3 linked regions of the Oryzias latipes genome follow. The protein of the gene in region 3 interacts with the protein of the main gene of each other region in a pairwise test. Links are inferred from orthologs where the notes say so. Each region holds a gene or a part of one and is shown on either strand. Other genes may lie near its edges.

Region 1 (10,203 bases), on a different chromosome or scaffold from region 3:
CGCCTAATGACAGGCCTCAGACCCCTCTACCCCTCCACACCCGTCTAACCAGCAACCCCCCCACTCCCGGGATAATAGCAGATCATATAGTTATAATAACAGAGGGGGTGACACAGCCGTCCACGCTCAGTTCGATCTGCGTTCTGAGGAAAAGCGCGACCCTCACCTGTTGGCCGTCTCCAGGTTTTCCACTTTTCTCCACAGGTCGCCGTTCTCTGACGTGTAGCTCTCCACCCTGAAGGAGGCAGACATCGTCCTTCAGCATCTCTGTTAAAGTCTGACCAACCCAAAACAGGGGCTCGACTTTTCCAAACAGAGGCATCTCAAAGGAAACAGGAAATGTTTCACCTCCGTTTTTCTTATGGGACACTTTTTAAAAAAATGTCACACTGTGGATTTAAATACCACAAATATGTCATTTAGGTCGACTTGAATGCAGTCTAACATGGAATAAAAGGAGAAAACAAACAAAGAAAATGCTTCAAACGACTTGTGCCGTGTTACATAAAGTGTGTAAATAAATAATTCAAAGGAGAATAAAAGGACGATCTGCTTCATGATTGTTTTCTTCATATTAAATTACTTAAAGATGCTCAACAGCTACATATTTTTAACAAACGAGAGCTGATTCAGATCCATTCTTAACCTCCGCTTGACGTTTGTCCCGAAAGCTTTAATGTGGTGACCAGACGACAGCTGGGATGGAGTCCAGCGACCCCCGTGACCCTGTACCAGAAATTATACGACATACCCTTATCCACAAGTGTTCAGGACTATAAAAGATAAAATAAAAGAAGGAAAAAACCTAACTGTTATGGTCTCCATTTTTTTGGGGGGGGGGGTTCTGTACGGTTTTACTTATTGTTTGTGTTCTAATAAAACTGCTGCTGCTGCAGGCATAATCTTTGTTATAAGTTTTTTTTAATAAAGCTTTCAAAATGAACCTCTGCCTATTTTGTTATTTGGTAACTGTTCTTCCGGATTTAAACTTTGATGTTATCGTTATTCAGAGTGAAATAACATCTAAACTTGTTGCATCTCCTTCATTAGAGGCTGCAGTTGAAGCAGATCGCCACTAGGTGGCTCTGCTCTTTATTGCATCGATCCCAAATCTTACTTTTCGACTCATTATCATTAGTCTTTTTTTATTGATAAATTATATACTAATATTTTTGTACCAAACAGCATATGAAAAGTGTAGACAATGAAAGTTATTTAATGTACTTTTTAAAGAATCCTAATACAGGCTATAAAAACAAACAGCATTTCGGGGGGGGAAAGAGACGAAAACATTCTAATTTAATTTTAATAACTTATAACAATCGCTGTCAAAAGTTTAACATTTTACTTCGACTCACCTAAAATGTTTTCAAATATACGTCAGAGCGATCCTTTCCCAATTTTTCAATTTAGCTGCTAATATTAGCGGAGCTTTCCTCCGGATTCCGCGCGGCGTAAACTCCGACATCTGATTGGCTGTTGTGATCATGTGACACGGATGCAAACACTCTGGATGAAATAAACGCCTTTTTTCTCTGTTTTTATGGGGTACAGCCACTTCTAAAATAAATAGTCTGTTGTTTGTATTTCTTTGACAGTTTCTCTTTTTTAAATTAATTTATTTTAAAAAAATGTTGTGTTTCTTGACCCCGCCACGTTTTTCATGAACTTCCTGTGTGATCCTAGCAATTAAAGCTTGGAAAGAATTTATTTCTGTTGGGATTTATAAAACCACAAGTCTACACTAAAATTATTTCTTGGCGAATGTTTTTAAATAATTGAAAAATAGTCTCGGAGTGCTAGTTGGACTATAAATATTTTGGCAGGTATTTCTTTAGTGCAGAGACACAATGTGATTACAAAGCAGATAAAAATGTTTGTGTGCGTTTCGATTGATTCCTAAAAGAAAGCTGCTCCGTCACTGAGGTTTTAGTTCAGATTAAAGTGGCATTTTAAGTGTAAAATCTTCAGGATTAGGATTATTGTTACTCTGAAAGGAATGTTAATCCATGTTTAGATTTCCTTTTCATGACGCTCCATGTGTTCAGCAGACTCCTGGAACCAGGTCAAAGTGAATAAAAAAGTTTTTTGCTCTTCATGAGTCTGGTAGGTCTAAAAAGGCGACTGATGATGATGATGAAGAAATCTTCGTTCAGTTAGGGCGCTCAAACATTCGTGACCACGCCGGCCTCCAGCTCCGCCCCCCAGCAGAGCCGTACTGTCATTCCGCGCCACGGTTAGGAAACCTCCAAACACAAAAGCTGGCCCTGAAGTGAGCGTTTGCTGCCAGCTCCACTTCAGCATTACACAACTGGATCTGCTGAAGGTTTTTCCATATTCTTCAGCGATAAATAATAAAAATCTAGAGAGGGAAAACCTCGGTCTGTAAACGGATGATCCCAAAGGAAGCTCAGAGGAGATGTGAATCTCCCAAACACCTTCTGACCTCACAGATGCAACAACTGGGCGTCCACAGACCGAATTAACCAACAAATGTTTCTGAAAAATCAAAAGCCTTACTTTTTCTCCAGACAGTCCACATACTCCTTCTTCTTCCTCCGACTTTCCTGAGCTGAGATCTGAACAAAAACATGTGATTTGTCACCAAAAAGGAACTTTGTAAGATGGAATTTTTTTTCTTTCAATTAGTTTGCCTTGTTTTTAATCTTCCGCCGGACTCTCTTCAGCGCCTTCTCCTCGCTCTTGGTGAGGGGAAGCTTGTTGGGGACGGGGTACCCCTCTGCCACCAGCGTTCTCTTCTCCTCCTCTGTGAGCATGAGCGGCCCCGAGCCCTGCAGCTTCTGAAGAACACAACGGAACAATAAAAAACTCCATGAAATCATTTTCAAACCAAACTTTTATCACCAAAATGAAAGCTGTAACTCTTTGGGGGTCAGATCCTGTCATAAATAGGCCCAGGACACTCAGAAATACAAATAATGATGGATCAATTCTCAGTTTGGACACTAGGTGGAGCTGTTGTTCCCAACAAGGCAGCTTTTTCACAAACTAAAGAGGAATTTTGTCGTCTTTTGAGGAAATAAAACGCTTCAAAACAAATCTGTTCTAATGGCTGCAAGCTCAACAAAAAAAAAAAGGAAATAACAGCGCTAACGCCTATATACAAGCCGTGACATCAGCAGGAAGTGAAGGTAGCACCAAAAGTTCTTTCTACTAGACCCGTTTCCCTGACCGGAATCAGAGTACATGATGGATTCTGTGGAGCTGCTTGGTCTGAGGTGATGAAGATGAATTTAACAGTATATTTACTTAGTTTCCCCCCACCCTAATCTTTTGCGACCTCTCCTAACCTTCTAACCCAAACAGCGGTTCCTGAAGCTTCACCCTCCGACCTGAAACCTTCCCTTTCTCCGGTGTCTCCGTGCCGTAAACACGTTGGGTTGAGTCATAGGAAAGCTGCTGATGGATGGAAGCCCCAGAAAATTAAAGGACGCGTTTTGAGGCGACTGAATTACAACCAACACCCACTCTGGCCACTTCAACGGCGTCTATTCCAGCCGCGTCATCTCAGAGGCGGTTGCTCGAATCGGCAGAGTCATGCTCTGAGGAGAAGCACGAGCAGCAACGACGCCTCAGAGAGACGGCAGGTTATTGACAACCGTTTTCTGTTAAATGCTACAAAAAGATAAGAAAATGATGATTTTATTCTCAGGAAAAAACGTCACGATTTGGGCTTTAAAGCTGAGGAAAGTTTAGAAGGAAAATGAGCTAAACAGCAACGAAATGGGAAAAAGGAGGAGCCGGGACTCACATGTGGAGCTGTGAGGAGAGGCGAGGAGGAGATGGCTGAGGAGGAGGCGGAGGAGGAGGAGGAGGAGGCTCGACCTCCTGGTCTCTGTTGTGGTTGGGGGGAAGACGGCAGCAACGGGAGGTGTGGGGAGGAGGGCGGCAGCGAGCCATCACTGTCGCCGTGGTTACTGCTGGGAGGGGTGGGTGGGAGCTGAAGGGCATCGTCTGGAAATAAAAGGGTCGGAGTTAAAAAAAAATGTAAATAAAAACCCGATAAAAGTCACCTTTTTGGAGCTGATCTGACTTTTTAAGGATGACTTCTGCTTCTGACTGACTTCAGGAGTCTGCAACCTTTAATTAAAAAGCTTTTAGGTCCAAGACGCCCTGACATAAAACCCACAAAAACTCGTCTGACCCTGAAAATAAATTCTCATGCGCTCCAGCTTGTCTAAAAGAGAGAAAAATATGCTTTTTTTTCTGCATAAAGGAACAGTTTTTGTTCTGTTGTTTTGAATATTAGCACTCCATTAGTAAAGTTAGTTCATTGTAGTGGTCAGGCCTGGACAGGCCTCAGAATCAGAGATTTTCCCTTAGAAATAATCTCAAAATGAACAAAACTCCAAAATAAAGTTGATCTTTTAGTGTTTTTTAATCAATATGCTGCATTTTCACGCAGAGCTGCAGACTCCTGATCCAAAAAAATGGTTTCAGACAGAAGCTGAAGTGGTTAAAGTCTCCCTCTGGTCATCTTTTTATCTATATGATGATGCTGTTTTTGGGCAGAATTATTAAATATGTCTCATTTTCTAGGTCTGCTCATGATTTGAATAAATAAAATACTCAGAAACACAACTTTTAGCCCAATTTTCTTTACTTTTCATCCGAGTGGGTCTTAGAATGTTCTAAAATTGAAAAAAACGAAAAAAATAATTCACTTTTCAACTAACATACTGCTTGTTTATGTAGATCTGCAGCTCCAGATCTAAAAAAGGCTATCAGACATGTGTGCAGAAGGTGAAGTGCATTGGTTGGGGTGCGTACCGCCTGGCAGGCTGAGGTACTGGCCAAACTCTTTGGGTTCGTCCTTTATGGCGACCGGATTCACGTCGCCGCTTTCCTGCGGAGACAAACAGGCAACTGTAGGGCCGTGCCACACAGACAATACGTACATTTTGCGCATTTTCCACGGATCAAATTTCTTTCGACTTTCGTCAAACATGCTTGATAATTCAGGAGTTTCTTGCTTTCGTCTTTCGTTGATGTGCACAGATGTCCGTCGAGGGTTTCGGCCGTCGGGCCTTCACGTGAAGTTTGAGAATGACGCCGTTTAAGCGTATTATACGTAGTTTATACTGCAATTGTGCGTGATTTTTGCAGCATGCAAAATTGTGTCTTTCCACAACCGTTCCTAACGCAGTGTTTTTCAACCTTTTTTGAGCCACGGCACACTTTAACCTTGACAAAAATCTCGCGGGACACCAGCATCCAATAAAAAAAAGAAAAAAGAAAAAGGAGAAACTCATAGTCTGTATTGATCTACAATCCCTCCACAATCTCACATGCATTTCTGTGATAATTGTGGCAGAAAAAGCTGGAAGCTGCAGCTGTTTGTTCTAAAAATTGTAATAAAAGTCAAGTTAGAAGATTTAAAAACTGATTGATGTGTGTTCGTTGTGGTATTAAGACGTTTAACAGAGAAGACTCATTGTGCGCTGAGACACTGTCACTTTAACCCAATGCATCATGGGAGATGTAGTGATGTCAGACAGACCCTCTTCTCTGAGCTTCATTGTTTTGTTCACTTGTTCCACAGTCTGACACTGATTTTGTTGAAAGCTACACCGCTAAAGACGAGCTTTAGCTGGTATTTTTGTTAGAACTGAGAGACTTTATGAGCAGAATCAGAACAAGGAAGTGAAGACTTTAACCACTTCTGATTGGTCAGACTGATGACGTATGATTAAGCCTCCAAGAATGATTGGTGGAGACAGTTAAAGGGGCGGGACTTCTCTGAAAATAGCTGTAGCTGCGGCTAAATTTCGGTACCGTCATTCTTATCAAAATGTGAACCACCGATGTATAACTTTTATGTTTCACATATCATGTTCAAATTACATAAGTGAAGCATGAATCCCTCATGAATTGCATATAAGCAGCACAATATTCAGGCACGGTTCATGTTCTACGTTGATTTACGTGTCTTTTGTGTGATTTATTCGTACTTCCGTGGTTTTAACATGATTTGTTTGTGATTCATCTGTAAAAAATGTCACATCAAGACCACAACTTTTCTCACTTTCTCCACGTATGACCAGTTTTCATCCGTGCTATACGCGCTAAATGTACGTAGCGGCCGCGTGACTCGATCTTTAGCGTCCTCGTCCCTGGTCGGGTTTGGCTGGAGGTGTCACGGGGGATGCAGGCTGACCTTGCGTTTCCACGACGACGGTCTGTGTGGAGGCGAACTCAATGTGAGAGCCGGGCCTTCCGAGGGCTGAGCGTCTAACGTGTGAGCGCCGTCGTCTTCCTCCTGTTTGACCAGCATGGCTGACAGGTCCTGACTGAAGTGCCACTCAAACTCTGGAGAGAAGGACAAGAGCAAGAATTTAGACCATTTTGGTTTTTTCACATTCACAGAAAAAGCAAAAAACAAAACCTCAGCTCGTCTGAGCGCAGACAGACGAGTTTCCTGTCATCTCCAACAAGTGGAGCGAACCGCCAATCCCCAGAGGAACTTGGGTAAACTAACCGCTTCATCCCTTCAGGGAGGCTCTGCTGTAGGTCTGCCAACCAGAAACAACCGGTAGCTTATAAATCCCACTTTGAAAGAGCTTCCCCAGAATATTCCAGCACTTCCTGACTAAGCTGGTTATTACAGACTTCTGGACAACGGCGCTTTGGCAGCGGCGGTGCGTAATTTGTCTCCGGTGAGTTTGTGTAGACCCTGGAGTGAAAAGATGGGCCGCTTGAAGAGCTGGAGGAGACAGCTCCAATGCAACAACCTATTTTTAGGGATTTGAGAATCCGACGGGAGCTGAGAAGGTCTGAAAGAGGCTCCAGGTGATGCAGGAAACGAGCATCTCTGTGAGGGACGGACGGACGGACGGACGGACGGATGAGCATCTGCTTTGCATCAGGAGCCTTTATAGGTGAGGCTCTGCAGAAGCGTCTCATTAGAGGGGGAACGAGGTCTTTCTTTTTGCTAGAAACAGTAAAAACAAAAACAAAAGTAAAAGGCGAGTCGAGGTGCAGCGGTGGGATGAGAAAGGCCTTAAGACAGGAAGGACACTTTGATCCCTGTCACAGCACACAGGTGTGTTTGCCGTTAGCGTCGGGTTTAATCACTTCCCGGTCTCCTAGCAACGTGGTGCTGGCAGGTTTACGAGCAAGGGTTTTGTGTGTGTGTGTGTGCGTGTAGCTCCGCCCATCACGCAGCATCATTAAAACCCCTGTGGCTTCTCTCTGCCGCCCTGAAGCGCCAAGAAACCATCCTAAGGACTTTTTTTACGTTTTAAAAAATATTTGAGAGCTGATTTTTCTAAACGAGACGACAGTTTTTTACGTTTTGCAGCTGGTTTGTGTCTTCTAATGTTCCTTAGGCTTAAATGTGACAAAAAAAACAAAAAAAAAAAATCACAAAATTCAGGGTTTTAAAGTCCTTTAAAAGTTTCCGTCAGGTCAAAGACAAACTTGTGTCGTGCCGCTGATGCTTTCGGCCGAATCAAAAGGGATTTTACAGAAACTGATGATGAAATTATATCATCTCTACGAGGCGTTACGATTTCAGCTGCTGACATTGAATCAAATTTGACACTAATAAATCCAGCTCAGGCTTTCCAACACTTTCTGAAGGTTTATTCTTGTAAAACTTTGACTGTTTTTAGAAAAAATGTGTTATAATTTTCCAAATTTTTCTAAAAACCCAATTAGAATGAGTATTAATGCCTCTTTTTTCTTATACAACAAGTATTTCTCTGTCTTGAATATGAAACTCTAAATATTTGTGGAGACTCTGCAGCAGTAGACACCGACGTCTGACTACCGTCAAAACTTTGTGGTTTGGGGGCCGACATCTACCTTTCCAGCATGTGATCTTTATCAGAGAACGCCTCCTAATGAGGCCCGTCCTGCTGCTCCCGGAGCCTCGTTAAGGCCTTGATTGGAAACTTTCCTAATGCAAACCAGAAGCTTCCAGCTGTCAAATCCTGCAGGAGAAAGTCCAAGTGCTTCAGTGGCTTCACCAAAAAAGATGATAACTGTTTTTTTCATTTATTATAAGATCTAAAGTTCTTCCCAAAAATGTAATATTTCTACTTCTCTAAAGTGGTACGGCCTGACCCCCACCCCTCCCTCCTATCTCTTCCAGCTTTATGGGATGTTGTTAGTCAAAGCAGGTCTTCCTGTGTGGGTAAAAGGCTGTAAGTGCAGGTAAGAAAACCTGTTAATGAGCGGGGCTCCGGGGCCGTCGTCCCGGGGGGCTGATGGAGAAAGGCGCGGGCGCTGCGTTTGATCTCGGCTGGGAACCGCCAGCATTAAAACATTAGATGGATCAGCGCAATGGGAGCTGCTGTAAAGAGCGCGGCGTCCCTTTGAATAGACGAGAGCGAAGACGAAGACTCGCAAAGTCATCAGATTTTCAAACACAAAAAACCCCTCCTTTTTTTAAAATTTATTATCCATATGTTATTAACATATTTATATTACCGAATGAAATTAGCAAGATATTTAACTAATAAAACCAAATAAATAATCAACAAATTGAATTTACAAGACACAGGTAATGATTAAGGTGCTGCACTGACTTCCTGATTGAAGCTGGTTTAAAAACAAAAGTACCTGGAGCCAGGTTATTACACCAGGTCACCACTAGGGGGATTTTTACCCTGCTTTGTTTAATCTACAAGTGAACTGGTTTAAGATTAAAAAAAGGAGTTCTTTTGACACTTTAGGTGTCCAAGAGATGCAACCAAAAGTAGCATTTGTTACGATTCCAGCTTCATCCTCAGACAGGAAGTTGTCGTGTGAACCCATTAAACGGCGTCAGGAGGTGCAGCTGATTGGACGATAGCCCGGAACAGTGAGGCTGACAGGTGGGCACACCTATACTGTCACAGCGGATGTGTTGACCTCTGTTTGCTGTTTTTACCCCATTTTTTTCCTTATTGTCTAGCATGTTTACACGTTCAAACCAACCCCCACAAGCTAACTAGGAAGTCCCAAATGCTGCAATTCCTCAAATGACCACGGGACGCTGTTCAAAAGTTAAAAAAATAATAATTCAAATAATAAAAATACAATAAAAATGTTATGAGAGTTCAAATTTGAGTGTTAAAAGGGGTGGGTTTTTTGATTGACAGGTGGGTGGACATGAGTGGGTTAGAAAAAACACATTTCTGTGCTATAAATGCAATTTCTGTATGATTTTAATATTTTTTTTATGAAACTGCCACAAATTCCCCCCCCCCAGGTGTATAAAGGTGTATCCAACTGTACGGCAGGTGGTTCCTCTCTGTGGTGAAGACTCGCTCTGATGAAAATGGTGTTTTTAACATGTTCTTGAAGCAGAAAATCGAACTTCAAATTACTTGTTTTCAATAGTTTTTCTTCAAATTGCAGACTAAAAAAATGCTGTTTGTCAAAGAGCGGGTTTGTGACGTAGAAAGAACGCTACGGTAGATGACTAAATCCACGTTAGAAGATCGGAGAGGGACTTTAAATGTATTATCAAATATAAAACAATTATTTTTTGGAAACCCCTCCATGTGGAAAAGTTGTTATTGACCTTTAATTGGTCTGAGTCATACTCTGAGTCCAATTATACTCAGCAAGACCCAGAAAGCCCTTCACCGGGAGCAGAACGGGCTTCGGAAAAGGTCAACAACTTCCAAATGAGTAAACAGTGATTGTTTCGGGGGGTCTTTGCTGTGGGACCCCAGCTGCGATGCAGGCTCAGAGGGAACAAAAAGCATTAATGTTATGGATTTAAACTACCTTTGGAGGATGAATCTCTGAGGTCTAATCGGTCACTTTTATGAGCTGCATTAAAGACAGAGGAGGATCCAAAGAAAACTGTCGGCTCCGCCGCTTTCATCGTAAGAATTCCAAAAGAAATGCAAGTAAAAACACAAGTCCGACCGGATTTAACATCCGGGGCAGAAAAAGGATTTGCTTTAGTGAGGCAACAGAGGTCAAAGCTGTTCATCTGAATGGGACAGGAATGAAAATAAGGGCTTTAAAGTCGACTTTGAGCTTTAAAAATCCGAGTAAAGGTTCATTTAAAATCATGTTTATTGCACAGTTTGAAGTTTTGTTTTTTTAGAACAGTTTGGGTTTGAAAGGCCTGGATGAGGCAGGAGATAACCCAACGGAGGAAAGACAGAGTTTCCGCTGGCTCCGGCTGAAGCTGCAGACCTAAAACCATATGTGTGTTGCAGCAGCAGCAGCATTGTGTGG
Region 2 (10,683 bases), on a different chromosome or scaffold from region 3:
CATTTCTGAGGCTGATCGGATAAACTTATCCTCAGCAGCAGAGGTGACTCTTGGTCTTGGACTTGGACTATGCAACTCCCAACTTTGTTTAACACATAAAGACAGTCCAACACCGCCAGATGTTTGATGCTTTAACGCAACACCCCACCTGGTTTGCAACTTAAAATAAGAAAAAAATAAATAAATAAGACATTTTGATAGAGCACCCTGTACCTCTCCGATTTACTTCATCATTAAGCACAACCAGAATTAATCCCTTTACAAGGTGCGCTGTCATTTTTTAAAAGAAAAAGACTTAAGTAGGTGTGTGTATTTGCAAGAGTCTGGCAATACCAGAACCCTTTTTCCAGTGTATTTTCATGACATAGAAAAAGACTACCTGAATATCAATATGCCTTACTTTGTAATAAATTGTAAAAGGCAGCCGTTTCTCATACAAGTTGCTTTTATCCAGGCGAACTCAGTGCTTTTACTTTGGTAAGTTAGGAAATTGGTTCTTAAAGGGAACATTGTCTGATTTACACAAAATATTTTTCAGTATAAGAAAAAAAACCCAACAGAATGGATGTGCCTTAACCAATCCAGTTTTGTTGAATGTATGTCTCATAACGACAAAAGCCACGGGGCTGACTGAATATTTCACACAAACTGGATCTTTTAGTTGTTTTTTGCGCTGTAGAGCTGCTTAAAGCGTCTCAGTGTGCGGTGCCACTAACTAGCGTTCATGTGTTTAGGGGAAAACAATTGTCAGAGGCTCAGTTAAATTGATAAAAGTATCGCCAAATGATTTATCACCGTATCGATGGAAGTTGGTTCAAATGACCTCATCAGCCCGTACTTCTGAGATTGTCAGGAAGGGAGTTCAATGGACCCAAAAGATGCAGACTGCTCAGAAATAAGAATGTAAAAAAAAAAAAAAAAAAAAAAAAAAACATAGTTCCACAGGGCAAAAGAAGATTCTCTGTGGGTATAAATTAATTGCTCCTTAGTTAGTCCACCAGGACGTGTCATTAGGACTGTGACAAAAGGAAAAAAGGTTGTTCCCAGGTAAGGAAGACTTGTGTGAAAACTGATGTCAGTGGGTTCACTCACTTCTGTCACGAGGAGGAATGTTGTGGATCCAAGAATGTGCACTGAAGACATCCAGAGGAGGAGAGAGGGAGAGGCACAGCAGGGCAACCCAAATGAACTTTGCTCAAAATTGAGTAGAATCCAAACAGTTCATGCTCAAAATCTAAATAGAAGAAAACAGAGTCTGAACAATGTCACTGCATTGAAAACTAAAAAAGGAAGCAGGTGACCCAAACAGCAGCAACGTTTGGTCCAAAGTCGCAAACATTCCAGTAACTGGAGACTTTCTGCCACTGATCAGCTGGGCAGTGCTTGCTGTAAAGGCTGCGACACAGCTGAAACTGATCAAAAGATTTACCTGGCAAGGCCGCCTGCAGGTAGGGAAAGGGGTGTGTCCTGAGAGTCATGAACAAGGAAACCACTTCTACTGCCTCTAGTGGAATCACGGTGAACTACAGGTCAGAAAACATGTATCAAGTTCTGAAAATTGATTTTTCAGGAAAGTTTGGCTCAAGCTATTGAGATAGGGGTCTCCAAAATGCATGCATCAAAAATGATACCAATGGTTATGTAGGGTTAATGTGAGTTTCGACAAGCTTTCCTTCAGCTCAGAGACAGACTGCCTTCCTGACCTGGTTTTGTCACAACTTCCTCCAAGTGTTCAGTAAAAATTACAGCTGTGATGCTTTTTATGAGGCCTGACTGAGGCTTAAAATGGCCAATTAAAAAGTGGAAGCCCCCAGTCAGCTTGAAAGAACTTGGCTGTGCTTCAGTTTGTGATTAGTCTTAACCTGGACGGTGACAGTTAATTAAATATTGAGGCAGCTTAAATTGATTCAATGTGCCTTTGCTTTATCGGTCACTTCTTTAATTGACGTTCTAATCTCACTCGGCTCTTCTTCTTTTGCAGACAGACTCCGCTCCTTATCTAAAAGAGTGCACATGTTTAAGGGGCAGAAATACATCCAAGCAGATATTTTAGTACACAGAAGAAGCTGTAAGAGTTTTGGTCAATTTAGATCATTCATGACAGTGGTAGGCTTTGTAAAGAACATTTGTTTTTTGAATGCAACAGAAATAAATCCAAAGACAGGAAATCCCCTTTTTTACTAGATAGAATTTGGATTTTCTGGGATAACAGAGACAAGAGGTCCACTCCTCTCCCTGCTTCTGAACTGTATCAGAATATTCCTTATTAAAGGAACGCTGCAAATGAGGAAAATTATTTTAAATATTTGCTGCTTTAGACAGTCGCAGGAGAAGCCACAAGGCTGCACCCTGACATCGTCCAGAAATGAGAAAATCCCTCTAAAAGCACCTTCAAATCTACCCTAATTAACTTGTGGCATCTTCTTTAATCCTGTCAGAAACTGAAACATAAAAAAACAATTTGTCGGAGGACTGAAACATACTTAAGGCTTGTTGCCAAGCAACAGCTGTTCTTTTAAAACGTACAGTTTTAGTTTCAGACTTAGAACAGGCAGAAGTATCAAAACTGCTTTGGCATGATGTGAATTTTGTTGCTTTTGAATAAACTCACCTCATCCCTGCAAGGCAATTAAAAGGTAAATAAAACAGACCTATTGATTTTTGCCTTTACTTTTTAATGAATTAATCAAGGATTTGGAATTTTCTCTAAAAGGTATTTGAAAAAAAATCTGCATTTACTTTTTTACTTTCTTCTCACTTTCTATTACTTTCAAAAGCCTTGGTATTTTTGAAGAACTAGGTGAAATGTTTTATTTTATTTCTTTTTGTCCAAAACATGTTTATCATAGTTAGCTACAGTCATTTATATTCAGAGTCAATGTTTCACTGTAAGATATTTTTAACATTTTTATCAAACTCAGAATTCTTCACAGATATAAGATGTCTAAGTTGAAATACCTTTATTTTAGGTTAAACCTTCATGCTGTGTCACTAATTCAGCACATACCATTTAATCAAATTACACTTAAATTGGCATCACAATAAACGTGCTGGTTTGCGGCGCCTTCCGTCCGTGAAACCCGGGTTCGACTCCAGGCTGCTCCCTGTTCCCTTCTCTACCTCTGCCGGTTCCAAGCCCGGTTAGAGAAGGTTGCGCCAGGAAGGGCATCCGGCGTAAAACATTGCCAAATTTACCATGCGACTTGTTCGCTGTGGCGACCCCTGATGGGAGAAGCCGAAAGTGGAAGAAGAATTGAAAATAAACTCAGGCATGAAGGGGTTAAACTACACAACCTTTAATAATTTTTCTATATCCTGTGTTTTTCACAATAATAGCATTTTTTTGGCACCAGTGTCAAGTCTTTCTTGGTGAAGTAATTTTATTTTGGTTAATATGTTTCAACAAAGAAAGATGGAAATAGTATAAAGGGTTAAGATTGTTATAATTAAAACAAGCAATAAAACATGCAAAGGAAATTGATTTGCGCGTCAAAAACAGCATGTCATTAAAATATTCACGCAGATTCAAGGCAAAACTAACAGAACTTAACAGACCCACAGTCTGATGTATTTGCATGAATATGTAGATTATCTTTGTTTCATTTGAAGGTGGTCCACTTTAATAATGCTGTGGGATGTAATTTCTCTGAAAGCAGGCTCAGAACTCAGATTATGTGGTTAAATCCCAATCAGACCATCAAAGTGAGCTGCTTTTTTGTTCACTGTACTGTAAAGCTCAACCTAACACTGTGGATAACCTGGAATATCTCATGCTGAAAAGCTGATTTTTTGGTCACGTTGAAACCTCTTCTACCTTAAAAAGGGGGAATAGCACCACCCAATGGGCGTTTTCTGGTTACACATCTTTTCCTCTGGGACAGGAGCAAAAAATAAAATCTATTTGAATTGCATACCAACAGATGAAAAATAACAAAAATATCTGAAGTTTGACCCACACACATGTGCACTTATTAAAGGTTTGCTAGTGAAACTATAAAGTGGACAGCAAACAACGTTTTTTAACAACTTGAATCCTTTATTTCCGATTGAATTTATGAGTACAAAACATTTGGAGCTTGCAGTGTGACGCCACAGGAATTATTTACAGAGGTGTTATCTACAACAGAATGGATACCTGCAAACAAACGGGATAAAAAGAGGGAGAGAACAGGCCTAAAACAATTGCTGGAAACTACGACAGATGTGTCTGCCAGCTACTCTGAGCGTCCCTGGACTTCATTTTGAGCCCAGGAACCTCAGAGTGACCACAGTTCACCACAGTAAGATCCCTTCAGTCCTTCAGGAGGAGTCCCAGTCATCCATCACCTGCATTCTCCCCCCTTTTCGGTCTGTGCTTCCAACTTAAGAAGCTTCCTCATCGATCTTCGGGGCCAAGTAGTATTTGATGTGTCCCATATCGGCAATCTTGTACTCCACCACTGTGAACAGATAAATGTGATGAGGTCGAGCTTCAGCAGGTGTGATGACGGACACACAACGTAAGCCACCTTACCAAGGGGGATATCAGCAGACATGCTAAGGGTTACAGTCTTTGACAGCGGAGTGGCCTTGGTGAAGAAGTTCAGATAGTTGAGAGCAAAAATCAGCTGGACGGGTTCATTCATCTCAATGGTGACCTGAAGGAAAGCGGGAAGTTACAAAACGATGTCAAAACAAACCGATTTTCCTCTGCAGGACAGATCCACCCCTCATACTTACGGCCTCTTCTTCTTTGTCCACATTGCTGGTCTGGGACAGCTTGATGTTTCCCGTGCCCAGCTCTCCCGAAGCGGAGAATTTAACACCGTCTTTGGCACAGGAGATCATGACGGCGTCGCCGATCTGCGACAGGTCACGGCAAATACGGGCGAACTCCCCGGAGGGCATCTTCACCACGCAGCTGTACTCTTGTTCCTGACAGGAGCAAAGAAAGTGAAGATCAGGGAATGCTGGGAAATACTGCAGAAGAGGTAATTAAAAAATACCTACTGGAATGCCCAGCTGCTCCACATCCAGGTCCATCAGCTTCATTTCATAATCTGAAACTTTTTCTTGGTCTGCAGGAACACAGAAAAGTGAAAAGGAGCATAAAGACTTTGGAGGATTTTCATCAGATGAACAGTTTCCGTATGACGAACAGTTAGAAACTTACTGATGGTCTCAAACACAAGAGCCAGAGTGTCAGCGGCGTCCTCCGCTCTGAGGGTGATGATGTCCTCATTTCCCGCACACTTCAGGATTTTGGACATACTGAGAAAAGCAGTAAAACATTTGAGCTTTTATTTGAATAGCAAAAATTTAGCTTTTATTAATGTCACCTTTTAATCTATAAGTATAAAGTACTATGTTTGAAGTAAATTTATTTTAAAAACGATAACGTGGTATGTTTAAAAAAAATGATCCAAGTATTTGTATCAACATGCTAATCTAATTCCGGAAACTCTTATGAAAGAGTGACGTAAGCGGAAGTGCAAGTTCCCGGGTTTTGAGGATTCCCGCCAACACTGCCGGCAAGAGTTTTGGCGCTAAAGTACCGCAGCAAGTGCGGCTCTGTGACAGCGCAAAGACATATTTGCACATGTCAACGTTTTAGACGTTTTGTTTTTTTGCTGGTTGAAATCAGCGAGTGGACAGTAAAGAGTTAACCGAGCAGGGAGACATGCCCGGGCTTCTCCAGCAAGATGGCCTCCTTTGTCGGCCTCACAACGATCGACGTTTCACTCGTCCAAGATGATTTTGGCGCCACACACGATTACCATGAACAATTCGTAAATGTCTGAACTTGAAGTCAGCCCCTGATAATCACTTTAAATACATTTAATAGGCAGAACACATGACATGCAGATTATACACGAAGCTTCCCTCTTATTAAACTTTGTTGTTTTTCTCCCCGTCACCTGCTAAGGTTGACTCCCATGGCGAGGTTTCTGTCGCAGCGGTAAGAGTCGAAGCCGTCGTGCCGGAGAGTGAGCTGCACCAGGGATACGTGAGACGAGTCCATGCTCTGCAGAGAGATGCCGGACGAACTGACGTCCCAGCAGGCTTCTGTGATCAAATCCTTCAGGGCTTCCAGGACCTTTTTCAGGATGGAGCCCTGGACCAGGCGAGCCTCAAACATGGTTATTCTGTGGAGGGTTGCGTAGATCGAAAAAGAAGGCAAAGGTTGGTGGAGGTTTTCAGCGCTGCTCCGGTAAAAGGAGGCTGCAGTGAGGAGTAATCACGACGTAGGCGATGACAAAGCGGCTTTGGCAGTTCAGTCTTTGTGTGGCACGCGGGCTACAGACGCGTCTTCTACAACAACCACAAGATTTGAGCTGGAAGCCCGCGCAAACGCCTGTTGTTTAATAACGCTGCGTCGTTGCGTCATTTCCGGACGTGTGACACACTTCCGTCAATAAAACGGAAGCTGGATGCAAATCTGCAAAAACATTTTTGTTTAGAGATTTAAAAAGGAATCTGCTTGTTGAAAAGAATTATTTTCACATTTTGGGCATGTAAAACATATTCCCGTAGTTTTTAATACAAATTGGGAATATTTCTGACTTTTAAAAATATTACAAAAATATTTTAGAATGAAATTAAAAGGTCTAATTGTTTTTGTTTTTAAAAGAAAGTGACCTCATTCTTAACAAAACACTGGTTAAATAAATGTTTTCTCTTGTTTGGTGTGGTAGATTATAATACTCTTAAAATAAAGTGAGAAGAGTTTTCTTAAGTCATCAGATGTCCTGCAAAAATGACACTAGTTACTATATTAATTAAATCTGAGGAAATAAGCTCCTAATGTTGATCAATATATGGAGTTGTTGTACATTTGTAACATTGAATGCCTGAATAATATTAATTTGTCTCATGTTTTACACATATGTTTGTTTTAAGAAAATTGCATCATTTACAAATGTACAAAACAAAAAGATAAACGTTTAAATGATGTTACTAAAGCATAATGCATAATATTCAGACTGTCTCGGGCCAAAGTCCTCTTATCAAAATCCCAAGGCACACCACCATCACTCACACACACACTAAAACTCTTTCGACTGCATTAACAATACGCATTCTCATCAAAGAGTCTTGAATAAGAATCAAATAAACACGAAGACAAATTTTTTGTATGATTTTTCATATTTCATGTTTGGATGAAAGCAGAGCTGATATTCTGGCAATTGTAAATGTTTTTTTTAGACCAATTAGACCAAAAGAGTGAAATTGAATGATTTTCTATGACACAGCTGATTATCCTTTCCAGTTTTCTTTTTATGTTTATATTGATGAGAATATATTGAGAAGAATAGAATTTTGCTGAGTAAGAAAAGTTAAAAAAATTTTTTTAATCAAGTATATCCAAAACATCAGTAAAACTTCATCTTCACATTTATTTTATTTGCTTAATTTTTAATATTATCACTGGAGCAAATATTCTGCCCCTTTTTTTACACCTTCTGCTCCTGAGTCTTAAAGATGCAAACCTTTACAGTGGAAAGTATCAATTTTACTTTCCACTGACTCCAACATCTTACTGAACAATACAGACTTTGTTAACACCGATTATGACTAGTTTAAATGTATGGAGCATCAAGTTTCTTTTTACTACTTTAACCTCATGGATGTTGTCAATGATTGCTTGATGTTTTATGTGGAATTTGCATTTTAATAAATAAGAAAAGCTGACACACAGATTCAAAACTAATTTTATATATAAAATTACACTCAGGAAATGTAATTTCTTCACCAGTATTTTCTTTGGCATTGTCTCAGTGCTGTTTTAATGAAAGTAAAAACACCTCAAACATTCTTGAGGTCACTGGTTCAGCTTCTGAGCTGCCATTTTTATATATATTTATCTGTGCTTCCTCATACAAGAGTTGTTCCAAAATTAGTGACACTACTCTTCAAAATAAACCAATCTGAACAATAAAGTTGCTGTAAAAACCTTTATTAGGCAATGTGCAGTTCTTGATGTGACACGAACAACAGGAAGTTTAAAAAAAAAAGAAGCTTTTTCCAAATACTTTTAATGCTCACAAAATGAAATGTTTTTGTAAGCAACCCCTGAGTATATAACCCATTTAAGCAAACCAACAGGCTTTTGACAGGAAGAGAGCTTAAAGTTGTAAACAAAGGAGGAGAAATAACCATTTGTGATGTTAAAGATAGTTTTTTTTTTTGTAATACTGTACTTGGAAAATACAACTTTGCCTTTTCAGATTTTTAATTCAGACCATCTTTAAGGATGTAGTTGGTTGTCATGGCAAGCACAGGAGCCCCTGTTGGAACACCCGGGAAAGGACCACTGGACCCAGCAATGTCAATGTGGGAGTATGGCAGAGGGGTGTCAGAATCTACACCATGCTGTGGGAGAAAATCAGAAGTTAGACTTACTGATGCATTTTCTTCACCATACCAAGACGTTTTTGCTTCCTGGTAGCATATGAGCACCTTGTCTAGTCCCGAGGCCATGATGAGGAAAGCAGCGGGGCTCTGATGTCCTCTAGGCGTAGCGGAGGATGGCAGGTTGTTGGCCTGCAGAATGTCCTCATACTCAGACTTGCCCTTGTGGAACTCATAGTCCTCCCGTCTGATCGTGGAGACCTCAAACACATCACCTAGAACCTCTCCAGCTGTGGGAAGAAGAACAAAGATCTGTAAACGTATACTCTGCGTTTCCTATAGAACGCTTTTAATAATGAAAACGTTTGAAATGTCGTTCATCTGTTGCACCTTGCACAAAAACATTAATACCACACCCTGTTTTTTATTTTTGTGATGATCAGTCGGACCAAAATTAAGCATGCCATGTTCATCTGCTAAGTGTGTGCCACTGTTTACTGCCCTTTCCAATATGGTGTCAATCTTTACGTACATTGGACGATGGTAACAGGCTGGTGTAGCGTCTCTAGCTTATACAACTCATTGCTCCATAAAATCACACAACACGTGAGCACTGAGCATTTCTCCCTTTCTCTCTATTGTTAACTCTGAAAAAGTTACACAAGCGCCCTCTGCTGGATAACCTGGAAATTGCACGCCAAAAGATTTTAAAACTGTCAATTTCTGCAGTTCAAGTTCTGTCTGATCCATAATTTTACTCCAGGAAGCACTGACAGATCCAACCAGATTTAGTATGTAAATGTATTACATTTTAATAGATTTATTATTGTAATAAAGTACATTTATAACATCAAAGACTAAAAGTCTTCAAATGCGTTGTCTTTCCTGCTAAGCAAAATGAACTCTAAACATTTAAAGGAGAAAAAAATAAGACAATTTTACGATCAATAAACCAAATAGTATGATTCACAGCACAGTTTCAGACACAAAACTCCACCCAGAAATGTGGCAATAATTTTTTTTTTGCCACTTCAAGTGTTGAAAAATAGTGAAAATATAAAAGTGGTGAAAAAATTTGGGAAGATTTATAACTGTGAAGATTTGATTCACCTTTTTGCCACTGAGCGGCGTTCCCACTGCGATGAGCTGGCCCATTATCCATGATGATCTGAAACATCCCGTTTGAAGAGATTACATCTCCACATTCGGTAGTTTGGGCTATAATTATTCACATATGGTTAATTTCGCTGCAGGACTTACAGAGTAGTTGGGCCCCATGGCTCGGATTGCGTGACCGGTCAGAGTGGCAATCGTGAACAGGTGAGGGGAGATCTCCCGCGGGGCCTAAAGAGACAAATGATGCAACGAGAAACAACAAAACTGAAGTCCAGTGGGACAACATGGGACTTTAATGAACCCTTTTGCACCTTCTCTTTCATCTCGCAGAGCAGGTCCACCATCACCATGCGTCCCTCCGCATCGGTGTTTCCCACCCTCACTCTGCGACCAGCGCGGGACACCACCAGCTCATCAGCCACATAGCAGTCTGAGAAAACACACAGGCAGCTGGGATGAGTTCAGAGAAGAAAAAAAGATGACAAGTTTAAAGGATCCTCACTGACCTGCACCCACACTGTTCCTCACCATGGCCATCGAGCCAACAACCTTCAGATGCTTTGGCTGCAGGTGAGCTAAAATCTAAAGAGCATATATATATATGCAGTTAAGAGGCAAAAGTACTGGACAAAATAAGATGCATCTTTCAGAATTTTACCTGGAAGAACCCAGCAACAGCTGCAGCTCCACACTTGTCCCTGTGCATCCCGGCCATGAAGCCTCCAGCCTTGATGTCTGCTCCTCCTGTGTCGTAAGTGATGCCCTGGAGTGTTTCATAACAGACATTTATAATAAAACAACAACATAAAGATCAGCTGACTGGATTCTTCAGACCCGCAGTCAAAGCTTTTGAGCTACAGCATCTGACATGGATCTGATGGAGATTCATCTAGAAACATCAGTGGAAGAGAAAAGTTTCAATAATTCTGAGGAACATGAACATTGCGAGGCTATATTTAAGTTTTGTGTTTTTATCAATGGGTATTTTAATTGATTTGCTCATAATTAAATTGTCATTGTATATCCTTTTTTATTTATATTTTTAATTGTAGTTTTTAGCTTTTTAGGTAGACCATTTAAACATCTGTGTACAACAGCAGAGAAATAGGCTCAAGGCTAATTCTGGTTCATTGCATATGATTCTTTTAATTTACACTGAGAAATAAAATCATTATAATATCTGGCCAGGTTTCTCTGTTTGTGTTCCTTTGCACACAAATCTGCATCTCACCTTTC
Region 3 (10,647 bases):
TGCTGGCGGCTCACCGTCTTCTTGAGACCTTGGCATGCACCGACTCCAGGAAATGAAAGGGAAGCAGCATAAAGACTGTCACCAAGAAAACGGCGCTCACCACAGCCAGGAGAACATAGCGGCCAATGAACAACGTGTCTGTTATCTGTTGAACAAAAAGAGAGAACTAATAGATAATACTATAAATAATACATTGAGTCCTGTAGCATTTGTGCTTGGTTACTGTCCCTTTGCAAAGGAAACAACTTTCCATCAGCAGTCTTTATTGGCCACTAGATGTCAGGAGAGCGCTTTGGTCAGCTGGGCTGTTATTTACATGCCTAAAGAATTTGTGAATGCACAATTTAAAGCCAATATCAACCAGCAATATTCTGCATACTGTTTGTTTATTGTGCATTGTTGTTATTGTGTCTTGGGTCAGCGATTCTTTGTCAGGAACACTGATTTTCCAGATGTTGGGCTGCCTGTGGAGTGAAATGTCTGATCTAATGTTTAGCTTTTGCTTCATTCACATCAATTGAAGGTAACTGGTTGATTTGTTCAGGAACTGACAACATGATGAAAGCTTCAAGCATCAGTTACATACATCGAATCATTGACAGCCCCCCACCATTTCCCCTCCTCCATCTGCACAGGAGAAAGTACTAAACCACTTTATTGTTACACTACAGTTTGGATTTTTCTCTGACACTGTCATTTTGATTCAGGAACATAATCATCTGAACATATATGAAGAAGAAACTTTAGCAAAGCCTATATGGAAATATTGGGAAACCAGTTGCCTAAAAAAGGTTCTCAGTAAATTTGGGTTATGCTTGAATGTTGTGGTTACAAAAACGTAAAATGTACAGGTACAATAACTGCTGACAGGTCAGAGAAAATGCACTCACTCTGTAGTTAAATACCAATGCAGCAGAAAGAACCGGAGGGTTTTGGTATCATTGAACGTCACGGTGTGAAGAAAAGGATCATATGCAAACACATAATGTCTGAAACTTGGAGATATAGTTTCATACCTAAAAAATGTCTTGAGTAGAGAAAACTGGAGATGTGGGGATTGTGAGTCCTATATTTGTTCCGTTGTTAAAGTAAACTGTGTGAATGAAAAAAACCTTCAAAGACTGAAAACTTTCACTTCTACACATTTCTTCCCAGTTTCTGCAGGTCTGGCGGTGAATAGATTGGTTTTACATTCATATTTGTATCAAATTCATACTGGATACAAGAGAGCAGCTTATCCCAGACGTCTACTGTAACGGCAGAGTTATCATCAAACACAGGAAGAGTTAAAAAAGCAGCTGCTGGTGGGATCAGATACCACACCACCACACACAACTGCAGGTTATACAGTTACAAGATCTGTTTAAATAAGACCATAGTGGAATGTAGTCAACAGTTTAGGTCCATCACCGTGAGACAGCCTCAGTTCAACTAGCTAGAGTTTTCACGTCTTCTTTCAGCTTAGAGGCTGAGGACAGAGTGAACCAGCTGATGAGAGCAGACAGTCAGTGCTGGTATGTTCTATGACACAATCTCATTGAATCTTTTGACAGCTAATTGGAGGTTCAATGGCCTAGCTGCTGCTGCTGCTGCTGCTGCTGCTGCTGCTGCTGCTGGGTTTACGTTACTGTCACAGCCACGTGAAGACACCTGTAACCATGTAGCTCAGGTGTAGAAGTGGTTTATGGTGACCTGGTCAGAGCACTGAAGCGTCCATATTCCACACTGCAAGCTACTGAATGGACGGCAGTTCCAACAGAAAGGATATGGTTTGATGGGAGACGTCTTCATTTACAGACTCAGAGTTCACTCCCTAGGAACCTAACTTACCTTATGGGATTTATTAAAGTAAAAAATGAATCACAACTGTATTGACTTAAAACCCTAACACTAGCAAAGTCAGTCAGTAAGAGTTATATTTTTTAAGAAACTTGTAAAAAGAAAAGGAAATGTCAGGAATCTCAGTGCAGCACCACTACTGTCACAGTAGAGTTTGGGTTTGATGTAAGTATGGATATCATCATGACAGGATGCAGTCATTTAAGCAGTAAATAAAGAGAGCTGAACAATGTTCTCTTGAACCTAAAATACAAATTCCTGGCTTCTTTATTTCGGCTCTGAAGACACGATTAAAGGACTCAACAAGGACGCTGAAAGAACAAAAGCCTGTCACCACCTTTAAATCCAAAGACTGGGCAAACTTTGCCTTCCAGAGACCTGCCGAGTTGGTGAACTAGCTTTTTTTAAAGTGAGTGTTAAAAATGCCGGCAGTGCAGTAGTTTACCATAACTACATTAGAAAGACAGGTCTCAGTAATTCAGTGATCGGTACATAAAATATGAAGAATGGAGAGGAGATCCTGAAGAAACAACAAGCCTCTCCGACAGATGTTGATGCTTCTTTGTATAGAAACTCATGTTTCAGAGAGATTTTCCAAAAGCTCACTGATGTCTCAGAGTGCGCTAATAATTTATGAGCCGCCAAGGAAAACAAGACGACAAAGTGAGAAAAAAGCCTCAAGCAGAAATAACAGGAGACAGCAGCCCAACTGTTGTGTACAGAGAGACAGTGACTTTTATGGAATGAGACAAGATGATCATAGTCCTAATGATGATGATGATGATGATGATGCCTGTGAAAAGCATTCTTGTGTCTAAGAAAGGCGGGTATAACAAAGGGAGTCATTCAGAGATGGATCCAAATAACACACCTCAGGTTTTAATCTGCCAATTAGACGGCGAACAGGAAGCCTGAGTGTGTGGAGCATGTTTTATTAATGTGCCTGTGCGTGGGAGCAGGTGGGGAGTGGGGTGTTAAATAGACCACCCCCACCCTAAGTTTAGGACTGGTGTAATTGGTGGTGTGATGTTTTATTTGAGCTTAACAGGATGAGGTTAAGGCCGCCTCTCGTGGGCGCATCTCTGCTGGCAGCTGAGACGCAGACACAAAGGATTCTCACTGCATCCAGTTCTTTTCCATGAACTGTATTTTTAGGAAAAACAAATGTAGCATCATTATCATGTTCTCTTTTTCTGAATCATATTTTGTGAGATTTGAATCAAGTTGACGGCTGCTAAGGGGAGCAGCAGCTCACATGAGGACAGGAGTGAAGTAACCGGAAGGTCTGAGCGGCTCTGACATCTTTGTCTGTGGAGTCTGGAAGGGAAACCCAGAGCGTCTCTGCTGGTCTGGCCGTCAGACAGAGGCCACGCACGCAGGACGCCGCTCTGCTCGCCTATTTCAGTGGGGCGGCAGCTTGCTTGGCAGAGCTAGTCGGCTTACTGGCACGACTCTGAGGCAACATGGGGGAGTGTTTGTTGTGTGTTGCTGTTGGAACAAGATGAAGCAGGCAGGCCTCCACAACAAGTGCAGAAATTCCCACAGTGACACTATTTGCAGGCACACAGGCTGAAGCACAATCAGCTGTCGCTGAAGACAGAATCCTGTTCTCACTTAAGGCTGGGCATCGTCTCCCTTCTGCTTTCTTTGTCCGCAGACACAGAATAAGTGTGAAACTCAGACACCACATCCTTTTGAGTGCATTAGTGAGCGGCGAGCTGAGCTGGACCCTCTGGATGCAGACACGGCCGTCTGGACCCAAAACAGTTGGTGGTGATGAATCCCAATGGCACCAGATCAAGACTGCTCTGTTTTCAAATGAGCCACATTATGCTTCCATTAAGCATGTGCCGCCATAACAGCCCATAATACTGCTAGGGTCTTTACTGCACTCAGAGTGGGGGGGTGCTGTTGCTGCTTTTGGCAGCTGTGCTGGGGAAGGAGAACGGCTTCTGGGAGCCCTTCACAAAATAAAAAAGCAGAAGTTTTCACTTCATATCCTTGATGGGACTGGAGGAAGGACGGTGTGCAGTCAGCTGCAGCTGCACAGCAGCAGGTTGTGAGAGGAGTGTGATGTGCGTCCAGCTCACCTCCTTCTCTTTGAAAGGGGGAGGAGTCTCTGGGCTTCGAGGGAAAACGACCAGAGCTAAGGTGATGGAGAGAGCCAGGAGGAAGACAGGGATGACTCCTAACCTGCAGGAGGAAGACGGTTCAGATTCAGAGGTTCAGGACGTCATCAGCGGCTCTCTGGGAGCTTTGGTGGAGTAATTTCTGGTTACGTTGTGTAATCTAACTACAGTTACATTATCAAATGCTGTGATCACTGCATGGACACTGTGGATGTTTCAAGAAGTCAGAAAAACAAGACACTGCTGATGTCTACAGAAAAAAGGATGTGTGTGACGGAACCAAACAGGGTCATGAAAAAAGGTTACATCAAACGAATCAAATCCATGTTAACAATAGCCAGTAGTTTACAGCAAAAAGCTTATTCAGGTGGTTTTCTTTAAATAATTCACATTTTTGGATACAAGTTCCACCTTTGTTTGAGTTTAAATCATGAAGTGGTTTTTTAGAACCACTTCATGAAGGGAAAATGTAAAAATAAATGTCATTGAATTAATCAGTAAACTTTTAATCATCATCTAATCAGTGCAGTATTTTGGCAGAAATACCCCCCACTATTATGAAACGGTTTTCTCCTGTCAGCTCAGTCTGAACAGGAGAAAAAGGTCCATCAATGAGATGTTTAACCTTTTTCTACAAAGAGATCAAAGATAAACTTTCCAAAATCAGATTTATGGAGTATTTGATAAAATCCTGATGTGTGAAAGAAGACGACTTGAACAAATCTCGAGGTGTTCCTCAGGGCTCAGTGCTGGTGTGTTGATGACATCATGCTGTCAATCAAAGTCTTCAGTTTAAATCAAACTGATGCTGATGATTCACAACCTACTACAGGATTTCAACTGGACGTGTGTATGAAGCACGTCATCACGAGCTGAGGGAGAAGCATCAGCATTTGAATGAGGCCTTCCGGTTCGGGTTCCCACTCACTTGGCAGATCCGGACGCTCTCAGCAGCAGGATGCCGAACGCAAGAGCCGCGACCCAAACGAGGGCGAGGATCAGGACTCCAGGGCCCACCTGGAGGACGGGGGAAGCCATGCTGATGCTCTCTGTCTGTCTACGGACGACAACAGAGATGTGATGATCATGTAGAGGCGACCGCGGCGCCGGTTCCGGGCCGGCGGCAGCTCGGAACTCCGCCGCCCGGGATTCCGGCTCAGCCCCGTCCTCCTTCCGGTTGGTTCTAGGTCAGCGTGGCACACGCACGCGCGTGCTTTGTGTAAAATAATATATGAGCGCTCAAGTTTTAAAGCTATATTCCCAGTGTCTGCGCTTTTCACCGTTTCCTGGTAACCAGAAGCTTTGCTCTCATTGGATAAATGAAGTGGAAGATAAGCCAATCGGCTGTGAGGTTACTTCGAACAGAGCCAATCAGAAGGCCGCCTCCATGTTTCAGGACAGATAGGAGAAAAATGGATTTGGGAGATTTGTGGGGAAACGAATCATATTTATATACGATAATCATTTAAAATTCAATGTTCACGGAACAAAAGGCGGTAAAGGAAAACACGTGCCTTAAATAACCTTCCACAGCCGCCGGGGGGGCTGACCGGATCCGCAGGGGGACCGCGGGTGTTCCGCTCACTGATTGGCTGGAGCTGACGCTCAGCAGCGTGCGAAGACGTGGTGCCTTTAGGGTACCCTCGAAACTTCCATGCACTGTTGTTTAAAAAAGCCCGAGAAGGTTGATGTGTTCACGGCGTCTGGTGATCAATTTAGAAGATCAAGGGAGCTTTTCAATAAAAATAATAGATATAAAAACAGACAAAGCTGCCAAATTTCACTGTCAGTGATTTTGTGAGAAGTCTAAATAAAGGCTAACTGAGGTGAATAATTCAGCTGTAGTGCAGTTTTGCATCTGAGCATTTAGACATTTAGTCAGAGAAATAAACTAAGAAAAGCTGAAACAAAGGATTTTTAATGAATTTTCTGGTCAGCCAAAGGCAGAATGTAGGATTCACATGCTCTGTGCCTTCTTAGGTTATTTATATTTGAAAGCAGTTTCCTTCATTAACCGGTGCAGGGATGTAATGGGATGGCTTCAATATTCCTTAGCATTTCATTCAAAGTAAATATAAGTTGCCTGCAGATGTGCGGTGAACTGATCTGGACAGGAGAGTGAGTGGGCTGCTTTTGAAAGCAACTTTATGGTTTATCAATAAAAAATAAACAAGCTGAACATTTTTTCCATCATGTGATAAAAGGTGGAAGTGAGGGATGACCACTGAAAGCTGGAGGAGTAGAACACACACACTAAAGGTCAGAGTGCTACTTCCTGGAGAAGAACAAAGATGCCTGATGTTAGCAGTAAGATGCTGCAGTTTGTGTGTCAGCTGGTCCAGCAGCACCAGAGACTCAAAGAAGCAGAACAAGCTGACCCAAGATGCTGGTTCTGAGATCAGCCTGAACCTCTCAAGCTGTGTCCAGACATCCATCGTGCAGGACGTACTCAGCATGTTGTTCACCTTTCCGCAGGGGTCGCCACACACAGCTGTCACTGATTCACACAGGAGGCTTGGCAGAGATGTTTACGCTGGATGTCTTTCCTGACACAACCCTGTGTTTTATCTGGGCTGGGGACCGGCACCGGGGACCCAGACTCGGGTTCCTTTGTGGCTACGTAGTTAGGCAGCGGCATGAAGAGTCTTGACCAAGGACCCACACTGGAAGAAGCTCATCGCGCCCCTGGGAATAGAACGCTGGTTTCCCTTGAGCCATCCAGTCACTACAGATGCTGGAGGAGCACAGCATGAAAGATGAAACGTCTCATGATACCGAACACTTCTTTGAATTGCGCTTTCAGTCAAAGGTCTCTTTAAATTTGAATAAAAAAAAAACAGAATAGCAGAAGAGGATTTTTGATGTCTTTAGTAAACAAGACATTAAAGCCTAGGCTAGAGAGTTTACGTTTATGCCACATTCATGTAAAATAAATCTCATTATGACTTTACAAGCAAAATAGCTTTAAAGCATTTATAACATGCTTGTCTTTCCTGCTTTCAAATTATTGAAAAAATAAAAAAGTACAAATGCAGGGATTTGTGCCTTCAACAAAAACAAGACAGGAGATGATGGAACGAGAAGTTTAGGCTTGTTATAGTGAAACCTGATCTTCGTGATCCAATCGGCGTCTTCCAGTTGCAACTGCCCGCGGTGGCCGTATTTCCCACAGACATGGAAGGCATCGGCAGCCCGGGTCGGGAAACAGAAGAAAATGGATGAAGATGGAGGTGGGAGGAGTCTGGCTTGGCTGACGTCAGCGGCTGTGTGGAGGAGTATAGGCTGTGCTGTCAGCCCAGTGTCAGTCTGATGAAGATTGGCATGCAGGTAAGCTGTCATTCATTTTCAGTGTCAGTGCATGAGAGCAGAGCTGCAGCCCTGCAGCGGCCTTTCCCCCCTTCCCCCCCTCATTACAAAAGGCAGGACATTATTCATGCAGGCAGGCAGACACCCAGCCAGGCCGGAGAGGGAGGGAGGGAGGAGACGGAGAGGCAGAGGAGGGGAGGGGAGGGGAGGGGAAGAGGAGAAGCAGAGGAAGAGGAGGAAATGCAGTTTGCTGGGACCGTGGAGGAAGAGCGGCCGTTTCTGTCTGCGCCTGTTTGGGATGCTGGATCCGCTGGCTGTTGTGTTGTTGTTGTTGTTGTTGTGTAGTTAGAGGTGCAGAGTCGAGGCGCTGGAGATCCGCCGCCGTGTGTGTCTTTGTGTGTGCGTGTGTGTGTCAGTGTGCGTCCTGCAGCCGCTGGTAACCTGTGTATTTATCTGTTTACTTCATTGTTTAACATCATTCTAGTATCTTTTTAGAGTTGGTGAGAATATTAACTTGTAGAAAAATGTGAAAGAAAAAAAAGTCTTTTTAAATTATTAAACGAAGTTTGTGATGACGTTTTCTGCTGTTTACACTTATTTATTCTTTTGGAAGAATATGATTGTAAACTTTTCTCAACAGCACATTTCTGACTGACAGAAGACTATTGCATTTACTCTGACCCAACAAATAAACCAAGAAATCAAAAATGGGTTGGATGCTTGCTGACTTTTGCTGCTGCAGTTCTCTCTTTGTTTTGCGTAACTGAGCTCCTTTGTTTGTGTCGCTACTTTCCTCTTGTGTTCTGTTTGTGGATGTTTGGCTGATGCTTGTGCGAATCCTTGTTGTGTGTGTGTGTGTGTGTGTGTGTGTGTGTGTGTGTGTGACCTGCAGGCGTCCTGGCTGAAGTCTGTCCGTCTGCGTCTTCCCACGTCACCCACTTTACTCTCTGGGTGCTTGAATGACGGTTTGCATGTTTTGACAGCTCTCAGTCTCAGTGTGTGCGTCCTGGAAGCCCGTTGGCGTCCAGCAGCACTCTGTCCACCAGCTTTCAGCCGTTTAGGGAGTCCGTTCAAGTCGCTCCGTCACTCAGAAATGGTAGACTTCCACCTGTCACCAAGAAGGCAGATTTGGAACTGATGTGTGACTTTAAAAATTGCAAATTTACTACTTTTAGGTTCACAATATATTCAGTTTTTGTCTCCTGTCAGTGAAATTAAAATGTCTGTCAAACCGATTCATTAAAAAAGCCTGACAATCAAGAATCCATCAGCTTAATCAAATATGTCTGAGCCATTTGTTTACTAATCATCCGCCTTCCTTCGAAATCCCAGCGGTGATTTGAACCACTTCAGCTCTTTCCTCAGAAGAGCCTGGCAGGTGTGGGCTGTAAAATGCCACGAGGAAGTAAAGCGGCCCCCTCTGTGGCAGTCAGGGCTTTGAGAAATGCTGCTATTGTCGCTGCTCAAAGACCATGAGACGGCCTGTTTCCTCTCCCAGCGGTCAGATGAAAGTGTATTTTTGTCAGTGGATGATTCAGCGGGGAATGAGTTTCAACGGAGCACGAAGAAGGTGTTTGCTCTTTGTTGTGATGCTCCCCACGCCGCTCTGTATGAATTGGCAGAGTGGGATAAGACTAATTTAGTTTATTCACCAAGTCCTGCTGAGATCTTAATTGATGATTTGTGTCATTGGACAAGCAGCCCAGGGGCATATTTGGGAGCCGCAAAATAACTTCAGCACATTTGCATATTCTCATTTCTGCTGTATGGATAAATGATAGGATGGAGTGTAATGCTGTGGATTCCTGCAGCTTTTGGGGGGGAATAATCCCCAAAAGAGGGATTCAGTCGCACTAAATGAGGAAGCTAAACGAAGCCAGGATGGCATACGTAAAAACCAAATTTCAACATTTGTGTGATTGAACCTATGAAGAGGAAATGACATCATCTTGTTTGCTTCTTTTCTCCTTTATTTTTTCCTGTCTTGTTGATTCAGAAACAGATGAATAAGATCATGTAGTAATTATCCATCTATTCTTTATGAAAGTGCTAACTGGACTTCTGTAATAAGGTTGGGATTTGTTTACTTATTTATCTTTTGAAACATCTAAAAGGTTAAAATTCTGCAATGAAGACAACTATTGAGAGTTCTTTGTCAGACTGGTCTGCTGGGCGTCACTGGAACATCCTACAGGAAGTTCCTTCTACCCCCTCTCTGTAGTTTGATTTCAGCTGGCTTTCCGTGTTCAGTGGTGCAGCAACACTAAAGACAACTGCATTGCGTGTTTTAGCCGTGTTGGGGGCCTTACAGGCCACGGCCACTGAGCCCGCGTGACCCTGCTGCTCTCCAGAGGAGGGCGGAGGGCTTTTTGAACGGCTTAAGGACACAACCTTCTGGCTTTTGGCTGTGCAGCCAGCTCTGTTGTGGCTGTGCTTTAAGCAGACCTTGAGGGATCCAGCGGCAGCGCTGAGGACCAGCTTGATTTCTGCCTCCACCTCTTCCAGAAAACGTCAAGCAGAGGTCTGCTTCTGCAAAGCCAGACTACAAACAAAAGTAGAAAAGCTTTAGCAAGACTTTTGCTTAATGCACTTCAGAGATTTTTGTTCCACTTCAAACCATTCCCAAAGCCGGCACATGATGTGATCTTTTTTATTTGTTTGTCAAATGTGATCTGCAGAGGATGCATTCTCAATTTAAATGTATTACTGTTTATTGATTGAACCTCTCATTTTTTTCATGTAGCTCAGCGATTTTCAACTAAAATTTAAAGAGATCCAGTTAGAAAAAAATTCTTGAAGCTAAAAAGAATATTTCTAAATATTCTGTGTAATATATTACCGAGTAGCTGAGGATTTGTGGCACATCTGCATGTGTTTATTATCTAACTGTCACTTCAAATGAATTCAGTATAATTTAAAACCTTAGGACAGTTTTTAATGTCACAACATAACACACATGGAACTGTGCACGCACACACACACACGTGCACGCACGCACGCGCACACACACACACACCGCGCGCACACATACACACACAGCAAGCACACATACACACACACACACACAGAGCAAGCACACTACCAGGACAACTACCGATATCACCTGGAAAACTAGAAAAAGGAGGATCCTCCAGCCCTCATTAGCTTCTTCCACAAATCAAACTCCTCCCCAGAAGAACGTATTTGATCAAATGTTTGAAGTTTTTCAGTCCATCAGGGTTGCATTTCAAAACTGGTAAATTCCTGCTAAATTCAACTTTTTCTGTAGGAAAAATTCAAAACGTCCCTTTTCCCAGTTTCTTCAGTTCAGAAACATCTTCAGATAAAGTCATAAAGTGAATTTAAACAAAAATAAATAAGTAAAAATCACAGC

What was found.
Region 1: the proteins of tmem218 (region 3) and creb3l1 interact in binary tests that used the Homo sapiens proteins (3 or more experiments, as listed by UniProt). The link is inferred for Oryzias latipes from reciprocal best matches to the Homo sapiens genes TMEM218 and CREB3L1.
Region 2: the proteins of tmem218 (region 3) and pcna interact in binary tests that used the Homo sapiens proteins (3 or more experiments, as listed by UniProt). The link is inferred for Oryzias latipes from reciprocal best matches to the Homo sapiens genes TMEM218 and PCNA.

Annotation. Positions count from the first base shown.
Region 1 is NC_019860.2:23,106,509-23,116,711, reverse strand, and holds part of creb3l1 (cyclic AMP-responsive element-binding protein 3-like protein 1), read right to left. Parts: intron 6,331-10,203; coding exon 6,179-6,330; intron 4,868-6,178; coding exon 4,792-4,867; intron 3,976-4,791; coding exon 3,773-3,975; intron 2,802-3,772; coding exon 2,655-2,801; intron 2,580-2,654; coding exon 2,521-2,579; intron 236-2,520; coding exon 167-235; intron 1-166.
Region 2 is NC_019867.2:6,547,886-6,558,568, forward strand, and holds pcna (proliferating cell nuclear antigen), read right to left. Parts: upstream 6,361-10,683; 5' UTR 6,119-6,360; coding exon 5,898-6,118; intron 5,681-5,897; exon of another isoform or gene 5,251-5,680; coding exon 5,153-5,250; exon of another isoform or gene 5,064-5,152; intron 5,058-5,063; coding exon 4,990-5,057; intron 4,971-4,989; exon of another isoform or gene 4,915-4,970; coding exon 4,720-4,914; intron 4,638-4,719; coding exon 4,514-4,637; intron 4,440-4,513; coding exon 4,363-4,439; 3' UTR 4,016-4,362; downstream 1-4,015. Other genes in the region: putative aminopeptidase W07G4.4, read right to left, coding at 8,212-8,352, 8,440-8,621, 9,442-9,499, 9,592-9,675, 9,759-9,877, 9,954-10,029, 10,106-10,210, 10,679-10,683. UniProt on the Homo sapiens protein: Auxiliary protein of DNA polymerase delta and epsilon, is involved in the control of eukaryotic DNA replication by increasing the polymerase's processibility during elongation of the leading strand.
Region 3 is NC_019872.2:1,109,156-1,119,802, reverse strand, and holds the start of tmem218 (transmembrane protein 218), read right to left. Parts: upstream 5,707-10,647; 5' UTR 5,483-5,706; intron 5,408-5,482; exon of another isoform or gene 5,026-5,407; 5' UTR 5,007-5,025; coding exon 4,897-5,006; intron 4,033-4,896; coding exon 3,930-4,032; intron 146-3,929; coding exon 11-145; 3' UTR 1-10. UniProt on the Homo sapiens protein: May be involved in ciliary biogenesis or function.